2 linked regions of the Styela clava genome follow. The protein of the gene in region 1 purifies or fractionates together with the protein of each later gene. This does not show direct contact. Links are inferred from orthologs where the notes say so. Each region holds a gene or a part of one and is shown on either strand. Other genes may lie near its edges.

Region 1 (8,712 bases):
TGGCTTTGGCTAACTATTGTTGTTGATCTATCGTTCGCGAAAATGTGTGAGTTTTACATGTGATTAAATTGTTTTTTAATATAAGTATCAGTATTGATATTGATAATCTCAAATCGATTATATCTGTTGTATCAACTTTGTATGTGAATTAACTCTGAGCATATCCTCAGATGTTTTCCAATTACTTTTCACTAGTGTTTTTAACCATCTCTGACAGTTATATATGTATGAAATAAAGCATTGAACTGTTCTCAAATATGTCCTGAGAGGCCATTATTGACTCCTATATCCAAAATACAAGGTTTGGATACCGAAACTTTTGAATTATGCTCATGATTCTAAAATATGGCACAAGCTGGAAGGCAGGAAGGCAGAATAATTTTGGTTGGACTTTGATTGTTTTGGGCAATCAGTTTAACCCAAGACTTGGGTTTGGACAAAATTAAGAATCCTCTTATCAATAGATTTATACAGACTTAGTAGCTATATGTATAAAAAAACATTTACCAAATAGGGGAATTGCAAAAATTTATCAAGTATCCCATGAATAAAAATTACTGTATTAAACTTAAAATGAAATGAGATGATACTAACAGGTCAGATCCAGGTCAATCCATAGACCATATTGCATTAAAAAAAGGATTTCGCTTTCAGATTGAAGATATCGCTCAATATGCAAATATTATAGATCGATATTAATAAAACTTTCAAGCCTGGAAGAAATCTATATCATTATCAGATATGAGTATCACGGAGAAAAGAAAAGCTCAGGCACCTACAAAAGACAGTGGCAATTAAAAAATGAAAAGTTAGCATGTGCATATTTTATTTATGCCAACTGGTAGGATGGACATAAATATTACATGAAGGACAGAAGGCAAGGTGCTTTAATACAATGCTACCTCAGTCCCAAATGTGATATTTCTGTTCAATAACTTTTCTTGCAACAAGATTGATTACATATTCTAGTAGTACAATAATTTGGCAGAATACAGCAAATATTTCTATGCTTTCCTTCATTCATTGTCCCTTAGTTTCCAGATAAAATAAAGAAGTACCCAGATGAAACCTCCTCCTCACTTTGACATGAGAGTTGTTTCTATTATTTGGGCTTACACCTTATTCTTTTTCAAGAATTATTATTTCAATGGCAAATGGGGCCTTGAGAGTTTGATGGATAATTAAGGGAGGTGGATTTAGAAAATATTATACACACACTTTAATCAGAAATTGTGAAATTGTAAGAATAAACAAGGAAACACGTCACATTCACTTGAATTCAATCACTGGATTTTACTCAAATTTATTTGTGATAATACCTGGTTTTAAATGTGAACTCTTGTTTATTAATAAGAGCTGTATTCAGTAATAAAAGTGCTTATCAACGATAGCACCCAATAAGTGCGTGTGTTGATCAACTTTTATTAGATATATATAACATACTGTAGCATAGGTTGCGAAAATTTATCTTATATGTGCTTGCTAATGAAGTCAATTACCAAATTTTTCATAAGATGCCCAACGAGAGAATAATTTATTTGCTGATATAAAATTTAGGTACCTAATTAGAAAATTGACAGAAGTGGCTCCCCAATAGGACTTCAGAACAAAGATACAAAATGAGACAAATTTATAAATTATGACAGAATTTAACATTTTCATAGCCTTGTTAAATACTGCTATAAGGCATAAAAACAGTACATGATGATCATGTGTTCAATTCCAATATCAGGATTTCAGAAATGTAGAAATTTTCAGTCAGAGCAAATCAGACACCTTTTTATAATTTATACCACTTTTCCATCCTTATAAAAAGCTGTGAAACGGCCAAAACAATGGATGTGTGTATGTGAGTGTGTGGCTTAATAGGACAATGGAAAGACAGGATATGATGGCATTTGATATTAGCATATTCACTTTTCCCAGTCACTTTACTTGAAAGGCTACTTGGCTTTAATTTTTTTAAAAGTGGAGTGAGACCAGAATCCACTGTCGCTTGCAATATGCAGTGGTAAATCAATCATAGCAATACAATATTGAGATAAATAAATGGATGCTGAGATATGTCCAAATCTTGATTAATTTTACAAAGTTCATACTAAGGCAAGTAAACATTCAAATGAGAGTCCATCAAAATAAAATTACTAATGATATTCTTATGGTAAAATGATACATTCTATACTGGGATTTGCCACTTTGGTCCCAGCAATTCATACTTCAGTCGTAATAATAGCAACATAGATGACACTGTGTCGGTTCAACACATCATAAATGAGTCACCAAGGTGTAACACAGTATATCACAGCAAACTGTGTGAACAATCTGTATGGTAGCAAACAATCTACCGTATATAGTGTATGGCACAAATGACAATATTTATCGATTGATTGTTAATAACTGAGCAATCATTAGAAATCAATTTAATATGAAAATTAAAAAGCATGATGTTTCAAGAAAATTATGAATATTTCTAGCTGTAAGCATTATCTTTTATTTTAAAACTAATTTCTAGTTGATGTATTTTTTAGTTGTATGATTGTTAGCTGTGTATACATGCTATATCCTGATCAAATGTGTACAAATTATATAGAGATTTATTATATTTGTACCTCCATCACATATGTCTGAAATATATGTGATGAATTCAGAGCTTAAACAGACTTGTATTACATAGCATTAGATACATTTATTGTCTTTCTGCTTTATTTTTATGACTACAATAGAATAGTGCCATTAGTAACGCAAACACTTGCTTGATACAGGCAAAACCAATGTGAAGCCAATCTAGATTTTCATAAAACTGAGGAAACATAATGAAACATAGGCTACATAATGAAATACATTTTGCGATAAATGAAAATCGGTCTTCTTTTGGTAGAATGACAATTTGAGCGAAATCAAAATTACCTCTCATGCGTGAATTATGATTGTTCGAGATAAAAAGAAAAAAAAATACCAAATATAGGCCTACTAGGATAACAGTATGAATTACGGTATCTACCGGTACATAGAATGTAGAAGAATAAGGTTGTGACAGCTCTTACAGATCACTCCACCAAATACCACAATTAATAAGGACAACCCTGGCTGTATATTTATTATACACAAAAATGTCCAACACACTGTCATTTATCCTCAAATAATAACCCCAAAATAGACTTTATTATAACTAACCCAATGACCTATGAAGCATTAAAATTTAAGTAGAGAACCTACCTGTAACTCCTCCAATCGGTCCCTCATCTTGTCAGGAGAAGTTGCTTGTAAGAGAATCAAAAAATGAAGGCTATTTTAAAATCTAAACAGTAACTCTGGAAATATATCCTTCAATATACATCCAAAAATTGCTGGCTTTTATGTTTTATTCCAATACAGTTTTGATGGAGTAGATATACAAAATTCTTTATTACCCTGACGGTATTTAATTTAATCAGTTCGTTACCCTGGCATACATTTCTATAAATAAAATTTTCAAAGCACATTATTGTAAGTAACCATAAAACAGAATTATATGGAAATACATGCAGAATACAACATATTTGATAAATTATGATCAGAAGTTCCTAGATTCTGTCACTAACCCACTAAAAAATATTTTAAATGTGAAAAACTTGATATAATCTTAATCCATCAAGAACTAAACTATGATACTGAGTGCATAAATAATTTGTTATGAAATATTTTTAACTTGATAATAAAAATTTGGCAATTATTGAATGTAAGGGTCATTTAAAGTCAAATTGACCTACCTGCCAAGTCCTAATTTTGTTGCTCAAATTGACAATTTTTAAATTCTTCAAATTTGTCGTTTTATTAAAAATACATCTTTTAAAATACCGACTATAGCTACAGTTATATTAAAATATTGGAATACAGGTATAATCCAAGACTTATAATTACCTTATTCACCACCTGATATAACCAACTAACTAATCTGAAAACTCTCACTATATATATTATATATTGACAATACATATTATTCATTATATTATGTTTGATCCACTCAAAAATGAAAATCTAACTTATAACATAAAAAGACCCTGTCCCTAACTCAGTCACAAAGGATCTGTCTTTCCCTGGAATATAATTATCCTAGCAAACACAAAAAGCAAATAGAAATATTCTCTCCTAATCCAAACACAGTTTGGTTCCGCAATGTTATATCCAACACTCCATCTCTATTGCAATTATTTATTAATGCATGGAAGGACACAGCAAATGAAATTTTGCTCAGTCAATAATTATTGATTTGTTGGAGAATGAAAATGAATTGAATTTCCAGAAGTCAAATGGACACAGGAAAGGATTATTCCTTAATGCCAGATGTTTGAAGAATGCACTCTGTTTCTATGGATCAATGAAAAATGAAATTTTGATTAAAAAAATTGATTCTTTCGAAAAGTAACTAATAGTTTATATTGGTTCAAATGCAGACATAATCAAATTAGATATACTTTGCTTGCTTGTAATTGATAGATAAAAGAAACCACTGTTGGCGTATCAGACCATGTAGTTCCCTCATATGGGTTCACAGAGTCAAATCCTGTAATGGATAATTATGTAAGATTCCTTTCTGGACCCCTCGCTGTCATGAGATGGTTCACACACTCGCTGTCATGCGATGGTTCACACAACAGCTGTTTAACAATGGCTTTCTATACCATTTAGTTCCGGGTCTCGTGTAGTTTCGTACCTCTAGTGGGGATAGAACATAACGATTTTTACACATATCAATCCTAACCCCCACCTGACTTCGCCATCCCAAAATTATGTCACTATGACATCACAATCACGCCATTGCCAAAGTATACCTACAATCGCCCGAAATGACATCTGCGCCGACGATGGAAAACTCACTGACGGCAGCAATCTCTCTCATATCGAGATCGTTGCCACAAGAAAAACAGCTTGCTCTATTTCGGGTGATCGTCTGCGCGTATTGAATGACAGTTCGTATAGTTTGAAGGGCCTCATTACATCAATGCAGCAATGCGACATCGTACTGACATAATTTTGGGATGAAATTGTTATGCTACGCCCACTAGAAGTACTTTAGGTACGAAACTACACTAGATCCTTAGTTCCCACATTAGAATCAAATAACTAGTCAAATATCCCTGAGCAAGGGATAGTAAGTGAATGCATTTAAGTGAAGTGCCATCTGATTAACCCATCCTATCAACTCTTCTCTCCTCTAGAAAAATAAGCCTATAAAATCAAATTTAAAGTACACACAAGACAACCTTAAACAAGTATCAGGGGGACCTTGACATATTGAAACCCTGACATATTGAGTACCACACTTATCTGTTAAAGATTGCTTGATTTCGAACACAAGTCAAGGTCATTGATTCCTAATGATATCAGAGCATCAACGTGATGAACAACATGACTAACAACTTGATAAACAGAGATGCCATAAATGTGCATATTCTCCAATTCTTTCATACATTTTAACTTCATAAGACTTCCCTTTATTTAGAGTCCATTACAATAAATATATATTATATAACCTGAAGACCTGGATGTAATAAACAAAACCCCCTATGGTTGATTTCAATGTTTCCCAGAGCTTTGATTCTTATGTTTATTTCCATAACAATGACCAATCAACAATAAGTTCTTGATGACATAACAATTGCAATTTATGCAGCTGCTCAGAAAGATTTTCAAGCGTGGTAGTAAACATTGCCCATTTTTGTCTTTTTGCACGTTATTTGTCAGTTTTAGTTGTTTTTCCAAAAATCAGTTGTAAATAAAATAATTTAATTGTCATTATTTTTTATGTAATACCGGTACCGTACCTGTAAGCAGCACGTCCTCAAATATTGCATAAAAAATGATAGTTTTGAACATGTAAACCAGCTTCTACAGGTTACCGGTACTCCTTAAAACTTTCTTAAAATAAGTACCGGTATCAAAACTTTTGCGATAATAAAATATAAGGATAATTTTACTGAGGTCAAGCATTGGGATAACATACACGAAAATATTCTCCTGCCTTTAAATACAGACGACAGTTGAAAAATACATTACTTCAGTAGGCTACTTCAACCTGGTGCAGTGTTGCTAGAGTGCTATCTGACTGTGATATAGCCTACATACCGTACCGTATACTGGTATACGGTACACGTCTCTCAACCAAGTCCACAGCAGCATAGATCTGTGTAACAGTACCGGTATATCGAAAAATACCTACCTCTGCAAACATTTAGCCTCTAATCTGATAATACAGTACCGTAATAGCAATACCAGATACCGGTACCGGTACCGTACGGTACGGTGCCGGTTCGGTTGCTAAAATAAACTGCCGGACGGTACGGGGCTGACGGCTAACTCGCCATGGAGGCTAACTCGCCATGGACCACTCGCCATGCGACGGCGGTTAACGGGTTAGCCTGCAACTGTGCGGAGGCTCTTCTTGTAATGGGAGATGGAAAGGTGGCTGTTTATACTAACAACTTCAATAGTAAGGATAAATATATTAAATTAAATGTGTTTGGTTACAATACCTACTGTGCAAATGGTAACAAAGTGACAAGAAAACGGGCTTATATGTCGGAAGGCATACCGGTACCGTACGGTACTCGACGCGCAAAAGATGTCTCAACTTATCATTTTCATCTAAGCATGCTAAATATATCATCATATTAATTGATTGTATGAGCTCTGAATCAACAACAACGCTAAATATATCAAAAGTTCTATTTTGCTACCGGCAGTCTCATTTTATTCTAACAGCCGTTGATTGCAAGCAGAGAGGGAGAGAGAGAGCTAACTCGCCATGTCTTTATTCTTTATAATTGACGATCGACATCGCGAGTTCGAGAGAGAGAGAGGGCTAACTCGCCATGTCTTTATTCTTTATAATTGACCATCGACATCGCGAGTTCGAGAGAGAGAGAGAGGGCTAACTCGCCATGTCTATTTTCTATATAATTGTCGATTGCCCTGATGCCGGCTGATATTAGTGTTAAGCCAACTCACCACGACAAGGTTTCAGCCTTCGAGTCAGAATTTCTTTTTACCAGAAGAAACCCAAGCACAGATAGGCATCATAGCTGTACATGGAAAAGAAACTGAGGAAGGGGAAAAATACTTACACTAGGTTACTTACTCTTTACAAAAGGCCGGGCCGTAGATTTTTGAACATCTTCGAAGGAGACATGGCGAGTTAGCCCTCTCTCTCTCTCGAAATGTCGATGGTCAATTATAAAGAATAAAGACATGGCGAGTTAGTCCTCTCTCTCTCTCGAACTCGTGATGTCGATCGTCAATTATAAAGAATAAAGACATGGCGAGTTAGCCCTCTCTCTCTCTCTCGAACTCGCGATGTCGATCGTCAATTATAAAGAAAATAGACATGGCGAGTTAGCTCTCTCTCTCCCTCTCTGCTCGCAATCAACGGTTGTTAGAATAAAATGAGACTGCCGGTAGCAAAATAGAACTTTTGATATATTTAGCGTTGTTGTTGATCCAGAGCTCATACAATCAATTAATATGATGATATATTTAGCATGCTTAGATGAAAATGATAAGTTGAGACATCCTTTGCGCGTCGAGTACCGTACGGTACCGGTATGCCCTCCGACATATAAGCACGTTTTCTTGTCACTTTGTTACCATTTGCACAGTAGGTATTGTAACCAAACACATTTAATTTAATATATTTATCCTTACTATTGAAGTTGTTAGTATAAACAGCCACCTTTCCATCTCCCATTACAAGAAGAGCCTCCACACAGTTGCAGGCTAACCCGTTAACCGCCGTCGCATGGCGAGTGGTCCATGGCGAGTTAGCCCTCATGGCGAGTTAGCCTCCACCCCGGTACGGTACCTAAGTTACGGTACCGTACGGTACCTAATGTTATAAGTTAATTACTGTTTCTCTTGTTATTGAAATGCACTAGAACGCACGTAACAGACCCAGTTTTTCAGGTCGTATTTCCTGTTTTTCCAGATGAATACCGGTACCATACTAATCCGCCCGGGAATAGAATTCATTAAATTACCCAATTATTTAGCAAGCCAGTGCCACCCATTTCAAAGGGGCGTCTTCATTTGCTCTACAGTGCCATCGTGTGCAACTGCACGTGCAGTTTTAAGTATTCCGTGGCGTCTGAAGCTGCCGCAAAACCATGGCGGTATTTCCATACCATGGCCTCTACGGCCAAACCTAACCTATGTCCTATGGCGACTGACTTTTTAGCTGCCGCCTGCCACAAACCGATGGACCTTTCCCCGAGCATCGACTTCCTTGTTAACTTCGTGACATTGGCCAATCAGCAAGATGCAAAAAGTGACGTAACAATGCTCCCTTTCACATCCGCTCAGACACTTTTCTCACTCAGACAGATTTTCAAGCGTGGTTTTAAACATTACCTCGTTTCCGCGTTTTTGAACTGTATTCGTTAGTTTTCAGTTGTGTTTCGGAAACTTAAACATAAATTAGATAATTCAATGATCACTCTGTCTTCCTAAGAGTTTTAATTTAATTGCAGTAATAAAAAATTAGTGTAAAAATAGCTGTGATAAACTAGGCTAAAATTCATTTACCGGTACTTTTAAAAAACAGATTGTTGTATGCAATGAATCCTGATGATGGTTCGAAACACATACCCCATTTTACAGGCGCCAACTCGCAAAGGCACTCTTAAAATAGCCCCGAAAATTTTCTAATGGTAAAGTATGGAAAGAATTTTCTGGGAGTCA
Region 2 (9,391 bases), on another chromosome or scaffold:
TTCCGAATCAATCTCCGTGATTACATGCTTGTCTTACACTTGCACAGTGTGTCCCACATTCGAGACGATTGTCTTTCTTCCCGAACATTAAAAAAGTTGACTTTTCAGCGTATAACGATTTATCTGTCTAGTAAAATTTAGTTGTGTTCAACGTAACTCGAAATTGTATCGATTGACGGCAAAATGAAGTTATGGACAAAGGAAACTACACGGACAACGTGAACTTAAAATCAATATGTCCGCTTCTGCTTGTTTAAAGACTTGCTTGGAGTGATATCGTATACCGCCCTATTAGTAGATAGTAGCACATTACATAATCTATCGCTGGGCATAAAATAACAAATCTTTATGTGTGTGGTATCCAACTTCAACCATTGCGTGAATTAATATGTTCTTTCTGCTTGTCTAAAGCCTTACATAGAGTACTATCGTAAAACGCCCTAATAATAACTAACAGCACAATGCATAACCTGTTGCTGGATATAAAATACCAAATCTTTAGATGTGTGTGATCGTGAGGTGGCGGGCCTCATTGAGTTTGTTAACATAATCGCCGACGCCATTGAGGGTGATCAGCTCTATTTCGTTATTGTGACGTCGCAGTGGCGTAATTTTTGGATGACGAAGTCAGGTGAGGGTCAGGAATATTATATACAAAAATTGTTACGCTAAGCCTAATAGAAGTTATTGAGGTAAGAAACTACACCCATAGCGGACACACAGGCGTATTTATCACGATTGCATTATGGTCGCTATTATTAGGCAAGCTCTATTTCGTTATTGTGAATTCGCATTGACGTTATTTTTTGATGACGAAGTCAGGGCAGGGTCAGGAATATTATATGCAAAAATTGTTACGCTAAGTTAACTAGAAGTTATTGAGGTAAGAAACTACATCCATAGGTGTCATTACTAGTAATCGTCGCTATTATTGGGCAAGCGTTATTTCGTGATTGTGACGTTCCAGTGACGTAATTTTTGGATGACGAAGTCAGGTGAGGGTCAGGAATGATATATGCAAAAATTGTTACGCTAAGTTAACTAGAAGTTATTGAGGTAAGAAACTACACCCATAGCGGACAGACAGGCGTATTTAACACAATTGCATTATGGTCGCTATTATTAGGCAAGCTCTATTTCGTTATTGTGAAGTCGCATTGACGTAATTTTTGGATGATGAAGTCAGGTGAGGGTCAGAAATTTTATATGCAAAAATTGTTACGCTAAGATAATTAAAAGTTATTGAAGTAAGAAACTACATCCATAGGTGGCATTACCAGTAATCGTCGCTATTATTAGGCAAGCTCTATTTCGTTATTGTGACGTCGTATTGACGTAATTTTTTGATGATTAAATCAGGTGAGGGTCAGGAATATTACGTGCAAAAATTGTTACGCTAAGTTAACTAGAAGTTATTGAGGTACGAAACTACACCCATACCGGACACACAGGCGTATTTATCACGATTGCATTATGGTCGCTATTATTAGGCAAGCTCTATTTCGTTATTGTGAGTTCGCATTGACGTAATTTTTGGATGACGAAGTCAGGGCAGGGTCAGGAATATTATATGCAAAAATTGTTACGCTAAGTTAACTAGAAGTTATTGAGGTAAGAAACTACATCCATAGGTGTCATTACTAGTAATCGTCGCTATTATTGGGCAAGCGTTATTTCGTGATTGTGACGTTCCAGTGACGTAATTTTTGGATGACGAAGTCAGGTGAGGGTCAGGAATGATATATGCAAAAATTGTTACGCTAAGTTAACTAGAAGTTATTGAGGTAAGAAACTACACCCATAGCGGACACACAGGCGTATTTATCACGATTGCATTATGGTCGCTATTATCAGGCAAGCTCTATTTTGTTATTGTGAATTCGCATTGACGTAATTTTTGGATGACGAAGTCAGGTGAGGGTCAGGAATGATATATGCAAAAATTGTTACGCTAAGTTAACTAGAAGTTATTGAGGTAAGAAACTACATCCATAGGTGTCATTACTAGTAATCGTCGCTTTTATTGGGCAAGCGTTATTTCGTGATTGTGACGTTCCAGTGACGTAATTTTTGGATGACGAAGTCAGGTGAGGGTCAGGAATGATATATGCAAAAATTGTTACGCTAAGTTAACTAGAAGTTATGTAGGTAGGAAACTACATCCATAGGTGCCATTACGAATAACGTCGCTATTATTGGGCAAGCTCTATTTCGTTATTGTGGCGTTGCAGTGACGTAATTATTGGATGACGAAGTCGGGTGAGGGTCAGGAATCTTATATACCAAAATTGTTACGCTAAGCCTAATAGAAGTTATTGAGGTACGAAACTACACCCATAGCGGACACACAGGCGTATTTATCACGATTGCATTATGGTCGCTATTATTAGGCAAGCTCTATTTCGTTATTGTGAGTTCGCATTGACGTAATTTTTGGATGACGAAGTCAGGGCAGGGTCAGGAATATTATATGCAAAAATTGTTACGCTAAGTTAACTAGAAGTTATTGAGGTAAGAAACTACATCCATAGGTGTCATTACTAGTAATCGTCGCTATTATTGGGCAAGCGTTATTTCGTGATTGTGACGTTCCAGTGACGTAATTTTTGGATGACGAAGTCAGGTGAGGGTCAGGAATGATATATGCAAAAATTGTTACGCTAAGTTAACTAGAAGTTATTGAGGTAAGAAACTACACCCATAGCGGACACACAGGCGTATTTATCACGATTGCATTATGGTCGCTATTATCAGGCAAGCTCTATTTTGTTATTGTGAATTCGCATTGACGTAATTTTTGGATGACGAAGTCAGGTGAGGGTCAGGAATGATATATGCAAAAATTGTTACGCTAAGTTAACTAGAAGTTATTGAGGTAAGAAACTACATCCATAGGTGTCATTACTAGTAATCGTCGCTTTTATTGGGCAAGCGTTATTTCGTGATTGTGACGTTCCAGTGACGTAATTTTTGGATGACGAAGTCAGGTGAGGGTCAGGAATGATATATGCAAAAATTGTTACGCTAAGTTAACTAGAAGTTATGTAGGTAGGAAACTACATCCATAGGTGCCATTACGAATAACGTCGCTATTATTGGGCAAGCTCTATTTCGTTATTGTGGCGTTGCAGTGACGTAATTATTGGATGACGAAGTCGGGTGAGGGTCAGGAATCTTATATACCAAAATTGTTACGCTAAGCCTAATAGAAGTTATTGAGGTACGAAACTACACCCATAGCGGACACACAGGCGTATTTATCACGATTGCATTATGGTCGCTATTATTAGGCAAGCTCTATTTCGTTATTGTGAGTTCGCATTGACGTAATTTTTGGATGACGAAGTCAGGGCAGGGTCAGGAATATTATATGCAAAAATAGTTACGCTAAGTTAACTAGAAGTTATTGAGGTAAGAAACTACATCCATAGGTGTCATTACTAGTAATCGTCGCTATTATTGGGCAAGCGTTATTTCGTGATTGTGACGTTCCAGTGACGTAATTTTTGGATGACGAAGTCAGGTGAGGGTCAGGAATGATATATGCAAAAATTGTTACGCTAAGTTAACTAGAAGTTATTGAGGTAAGAAACTACACCCATAGCGGACAGACAGGCGTATTTAACACAATTGCATTATGGTCGCTATTATTAGGCAAGCTCTATTTCGTTATTGTGAAGTCGCATTGACGTAATTTTTGGATGATGAAGTCAGGTGAGGGTCAGAAATTTTATATGCAAAAATTGTTACGCTAAGATAATTAAAAGTTATTGAAGTAAGAAACTACATCCATAGGTGGCATTACCAGTAATCGTCGCTATTATTAGGCAAGCTCTATTTCGTTATTGTGACGTCGTATTGACGTAATTTTTTGATGATCAAATCAGGTGAGGGTCAGGAATATTACGTGCAAAAATTGTTACGCTAAGTTAACTAGAAGTTATTGAGGTACGAAACTACACCCATACCGGACACACAGGCGTAATTATCACGATTGCATTATGGTCGCTATTATTGGGCAAGCTCGATTTCGTTATTGTGACATCGCATTGACGTAATTTTGGGATGACGAAGTCAGGTGAGGGTCAGGAATGATATATGCAAAAATTGTTACGCTAAGATAAGTATAAGTTATCGAGGTAAGAAACTACATCCATTGCGCTAAAGCAAATTAATATGTCGGTTTCTGCTTGTCTAAAGCCTTGCATAGAGTGAAAGCGTTCCACGTCCTATTAATAAAATGTGGCCCAATACATGATCAGTCTCTGGATATTAAATAACAAGTCTTTATGTGTGTGGTACCCAACTTCAACCATTGCGTAAAATAACATGTATTTTCTGCTTGTCTAAAGCCTTGGTTAGAGTTGTATCGTATAACGCTCTATTTTAGATTGTAGCACGATACATGAGCTATTGCTGGACAGAAATTGGTCAGAATGGGATATCGTGAACGTTCCTTGGCGACAATTTAGTCGCTTGTGATTCTTGTTTATTTTGAGCTCTGTACAACGACCCCGATAAGAGAGAGGTCGCTGACGTATTGAGTTTGTTGACATACTCGTAGGCGCCATTACGGGTGACCGTCGCTATACTTTGGCAAGCTGTATTTCGTTATTGTGACGTCGCAGTGACGTAATTTTTGGATGACGTCATCAGGTGGGGGTCAGGAATCATATATCCAAAAATTGTTACGCCACGCCCACTAGAAGTTATTCAGGTAAGAAAGTACATGAGACCCGGATCGGACAGGTTTGATGCAAGTTGCAGAGTTGTGCTGGAACCACAGTGACTACGGCTGTAGTCACTTTGCTGCTTTGGCTAGAACCAGTGTGTTTTAGGTATTTCTGTTTTTGCAATGGCTGAGACTGAATGTGTGATTTAAATATTTTTTACTCAGATTCTTGCCAGTTTTCCCTATCTTTTGTGTGTTCATGGTTATATTTTGGTGTATGTGTACATTTTTCTAGTGGGATAAAAGTAAACTTATTGTTATAATAATAAGTATAACTTTATTTCGACTCTGTAATCATCATACAGTCATAACAGACAATAAAATGATTGATAAAAACATAAAGAGGTGAGAGGAATGATATGTTCACTCACCCAAAAATACAGAAATATGAAATTAATTCACATACATACCTATACCTGTATTCGGATATTATACAACTCTATACGACTGACCTGGCTTATTTCGGTATTTCAAAGATTTCTTTCAAAAGAAACATTGGTCCTATAAAAAATCACTTCAGCCCATTTTCAGATTTTTGATAAAATTGCTAAATTACAGAATTACGGGACTTATATTCTTTGTCTTCATTTACAGATAAATTTCTGACTTTAGTAAGGTAGGGTAATATTATATATTTTGACGAACGTATTTGTAAGCTAACTGTATCACAAAACAAGACTATATCTCTGGAAAACTGCTATACTCGGACTACTAATTTTATTTTATGAAAATTTTGCAAAATGTCTGGAAATCCATGGTTGGATGACGTGGAGTCGTCGTCACGTCCGCCAAATCGATGGGCAGATGATGACGAAGAAGATTTTGATCCAGATAAAAACTATCTTGAACAAGTTGTCAAACGTAAAGAAGTTGATATGGTTGCAAGCACCCAAAGATCATTAGGAATGATTTATGAATCTGAGCAAGTGGGAGCAGCTACTGGGGAGGTAAATATACATATAAAATAAATGTACAACCTAATTTCCTATTACATGTTTCCCTAATTCTCTAAAGTCAAGCCGAGTCATGGTCTCATGTCGAGTCGATCACTGAGTTAAGACTCGCCTGGCGATTATTTAGAGTACGACTCTGGGTCACTTTCGAGTATTCAATGAATGAGGACTCAAGTTTAGTCAATGTCCTAAGTCTCCCAAGCACTGTTTATCATCATGTTAGTTTGTAATGAATAGTCCTCCATATTTATTGCTCAGGTGCTTTGATGTATTGATAGACCTTTGGAATAGCCTTAGATCATTGTAAGCGTGGCCTATAAGGTACACAAGTGGAGAGTTTCAACTTCCAGTAGTAGGGACATCCTTAAACATTCAGTCCTGACAGTGGAGTATTATTCAATTTTTCCGTGTCCAGATGTCTTATTATCATTAACTTTATATTACAGGAGCTCATAAGGCAAGGCGAAGCTTTAAAACGCACTGAACAACGGGTTGACCGAATGGAACAAGATTTAAAAGAAAGCGATCGACATATCGCCAGTATAAAAAGTTTATGGGGAGCTTTTGTCAATAAATTCAGGAAGGAACCTGCACCAACTCCAGTCACAACATATGATGATTCACAACCAGACTCACGGTTAGTTTTAGTCAAATATGGCCCACCTTGGTATATGACTAAGTAAAACAGATTGATTTCATAGAAGTTTTTTTCGTGTGATACAGGATACTAAAATATAAAGCTCTCGATAACATGTTATTAAAAGATTGGCATTGATATTCAAATTTCTTTCTTTAATAAAATTCTAGGAACAGCAGTTCAGTTTTCATAGTGTTTTTGTGCAGTGCAGGAGTGATGGTATATAATGCTGGAAATATCATTCGTGATCAACTTTTCTTTTTAGCGATTGAGTGAGACATATATTTTTATTGGCATAGTCAATGCTATTTCAAGGGTGTTAATGACCATTTTTGAATGTTCAAAATTGATTTATTTATACATCGTATAATTTGTCCTACTTTGCAATTCTGATGCATAAGTATCAAATTATAAATATCTGAATTTTTTTTAAATGGCTTTAAATTGGTTTTTATCGAGGTAAATCCAATAGATAATTTAATTGGACTCCTGTTAGTCTAGAATGTAATTGGTTTTGAGCATATTTATTATTAACAGGGATTTATGATTAGGATTAGTCTTCATTAGGAAGTGAAATCTTAGTTTAATTTACTGAAATTATTTATTATGATTATAATTCAATCATCATATTGATAGTTTCAGTTTCAATAGTTATATAATGTTAATTATAATTTGATGTAGTGTGTGCTTGTAGCATAACTTATTCTTGCTTGGCCTACGTATATGGCCTATATATATTGTTGGGTTCCATTACATTTGAACCCACGTACATTTGAACCCATGACAATTGCACCTGTATGCTATTGCACCTATGGAATTTTTTTGTTTTTCGGATAGTTGAACCCACACTAACCCTAACCCGTGGATATACACATGGGTTCAAATGTACGTGGGTTCAAATGTTTGGTCACCATATTGTTGGTGTTATTTTCTATAATGAGTTGGTGTTGTGATCATGAATGCTATGTTTCACCGTGTAGAAAGTTTAGACAAGTTATATCAATAGTTGACCTTTGAATCATCATATGATTCATTTCCCCCTTTTGGAACAGAGTAAAGTTATTGTACGAAGTGACCTTTACAATAAGCTGTTTCACATGGCTATTTTAGCTGACTGAGAGTCATTGATGTGAAATGAGGACATGTGAAACAAAATTGTTTTGCTGTCAAACCCTATTCTCTTGCCAAACATAGCCATATATGAACCATTAGACTTCCATGTATAATTCCTAAATTATTTCTAAATAATGTTGAATGTAAAAGGATATCGGAAATATTCACATTCCATTCCAAACTTTGAGCCATTTGAAAAAGACTGCTTGACAAAAAATTTGTCTCTGGCACCAGAAAGATAATTTAGACTCCAGCTCTTCTCTCTAAGAAAATCATATTTCTAATGAACACAAATGTTGTTACTGTAGTTGGAGAAATCTGTGGACGAAAAGCAGCTATCATAGCAAAATCTCCCTAACTAGGTTTTCAAATTTAAATCTTCTTTTCCAGGTTAGGAAAGGCCGTCGTGAATTCCAAAGTATCTGGATATCAACCTGAAGAAGATCATCCAGTATTGTTAAGACAAGATGATTCCAGGGAAAGATATGGAGCAGGATATAGCCAACAACAAGCTAAGAATGAGAGAATGGCACAAGTCGATGATAACTTGGGTTTGTCTCGAATTTATTGCTGCCTATTTATGTCTGTTAATAAGATTCAAATATAGTATGATTTTGTTTGCTCAAGTCCATGCATCTGAAATAAATAAATGCTTAACTAACTCCATACCTGGATTGATACCCAGACGAAGTCCGCCATATGATTATGCAGTCTTATCGTCTTTCCCTGCCCCGATGATAATCAAAGTAATAGGAAGTGATAGGACTTCCATATGACTGATGTCAGGTATATAGTTTGGGTATGGAGAATGGGACATATTATTACTGAATATTACGATGTAGCGAATATAAATACCATACATCGTGAAATTTATGATTACACAGCAAAAAAACTTAGTATTAGAGGTTGAGGCTAACCTTTGTCTGAGTACTTACTGAGTACTATTGGGAAAAAGTCTGTGAAAAAGTAATATTCCTATTATCAAAGCTACTATCAGAAATTTTTGTTAAACAACACTACAGCTCCCTAAACCTGAGTGGCGTGTTAAGTCAGATCAGGGATTATCTGATTAATTAATGAGTCTGGGTGGTCGTCTCATTTTATGACTCAAGTCACTCATGAGTTTTAACGATAAATGGTGACACGAATGCAACCTGACTCAAGTCTTATTAACACTGGTAAACACCAAATATCCTTGTTATCTCTATTTCAGATCAAATTTCTTCGGGATTACGAAGGCTCAAAGATCTTGGAATTGGTTTAGGAGAAGAAATTGAATCACAGGATAGGATTTTGACAAGGCTTGGTGATAAGGTCGAAAGAGTCGATAATAAGACACACATTACTAGCAAGCAGTTAATGAAATTGAATCATTCATAGGCTTTAAAATATGTTGCTATTTTTGTCCATATATTATTGTAGTATTTTTCATAGATGTGATTCCTAAAAAAAGTAGAAGCGGCTGAGCATTAATGAATAATTTGTAAAAATAATGATGAAATTCAACATATTGCTTCTTGAATTGAATAGCGGTTTTCTGATCCACTGGATGCATGTCTCAGTTTATTTGTGTATTCCTTGAGTTTGTTTTTAGCGAGATTTTTCTAGTAGGGATGGCCAAAATCAAATACATCCGGAAACGTTTTTGAATAAGAAGAATATTTCAAAAATAGCTCGTGAATTTCAGTCGTAATGCAGGATGTTTATTCATATTCTCTTTCCCAAAAGTTTATTTTTGTCTGATGATAAACCTTAAAATACCCAATCAAGATCTGACTTTATCATTCTGCGCATCACTCACTATACTTCACCTTTCTATAAATAGTAGAACATAGTAATTAGAAATTCGAGACTAATTTTTATTATTGAAGCATAAGGCCCATTGACGCTCCTAATATTTAAAAACAACCTTATGGTTCCTTGTATTATTTTTTGTATATAGTTTTTCACACTGAT

What was found.
Region 2: the proteins of syntaxin-1A-like (region 1) and synaptosomal-associated protein 29-like purify together in Drosophila melanogaster (affinity purification with mass spectrometry; 3 studies listed by BioGRID, with this or other methods). This does not show direct contact. The link is inferred for Styela clava from reciprocal best matches to the Drosophila melanogaster genes Syx1A and Snap29.

What each region holds. Positions count from the first base shown.
Region 1 is NC_135252.1:6,861,542-6,870,253, reverse strand, and holds the start of syntaxin-1A-like, read right to left. Parts: upstream 3,453-8,712; 5' UTR 3,244-3,452; coding exon 3,217-3,243; intron 1-3,216.
Region 2 is NC_135264.1:14,195,153-14,204,543, forward strand, and holds the start of synaptosomal-associated protein 29-like, read left to right. Parts: upstream 1-5,325; 5' UTR 5,326-5,472; coding exon 5,473-5,679; intron 5,680-6,131; coding exon 6,132-6,322; intron 6,323-7,825; coding exon 7,826-7,986; intron 7,987-8,648; coding exon 8,649-8,815; 3' UTR 8,816-9,391.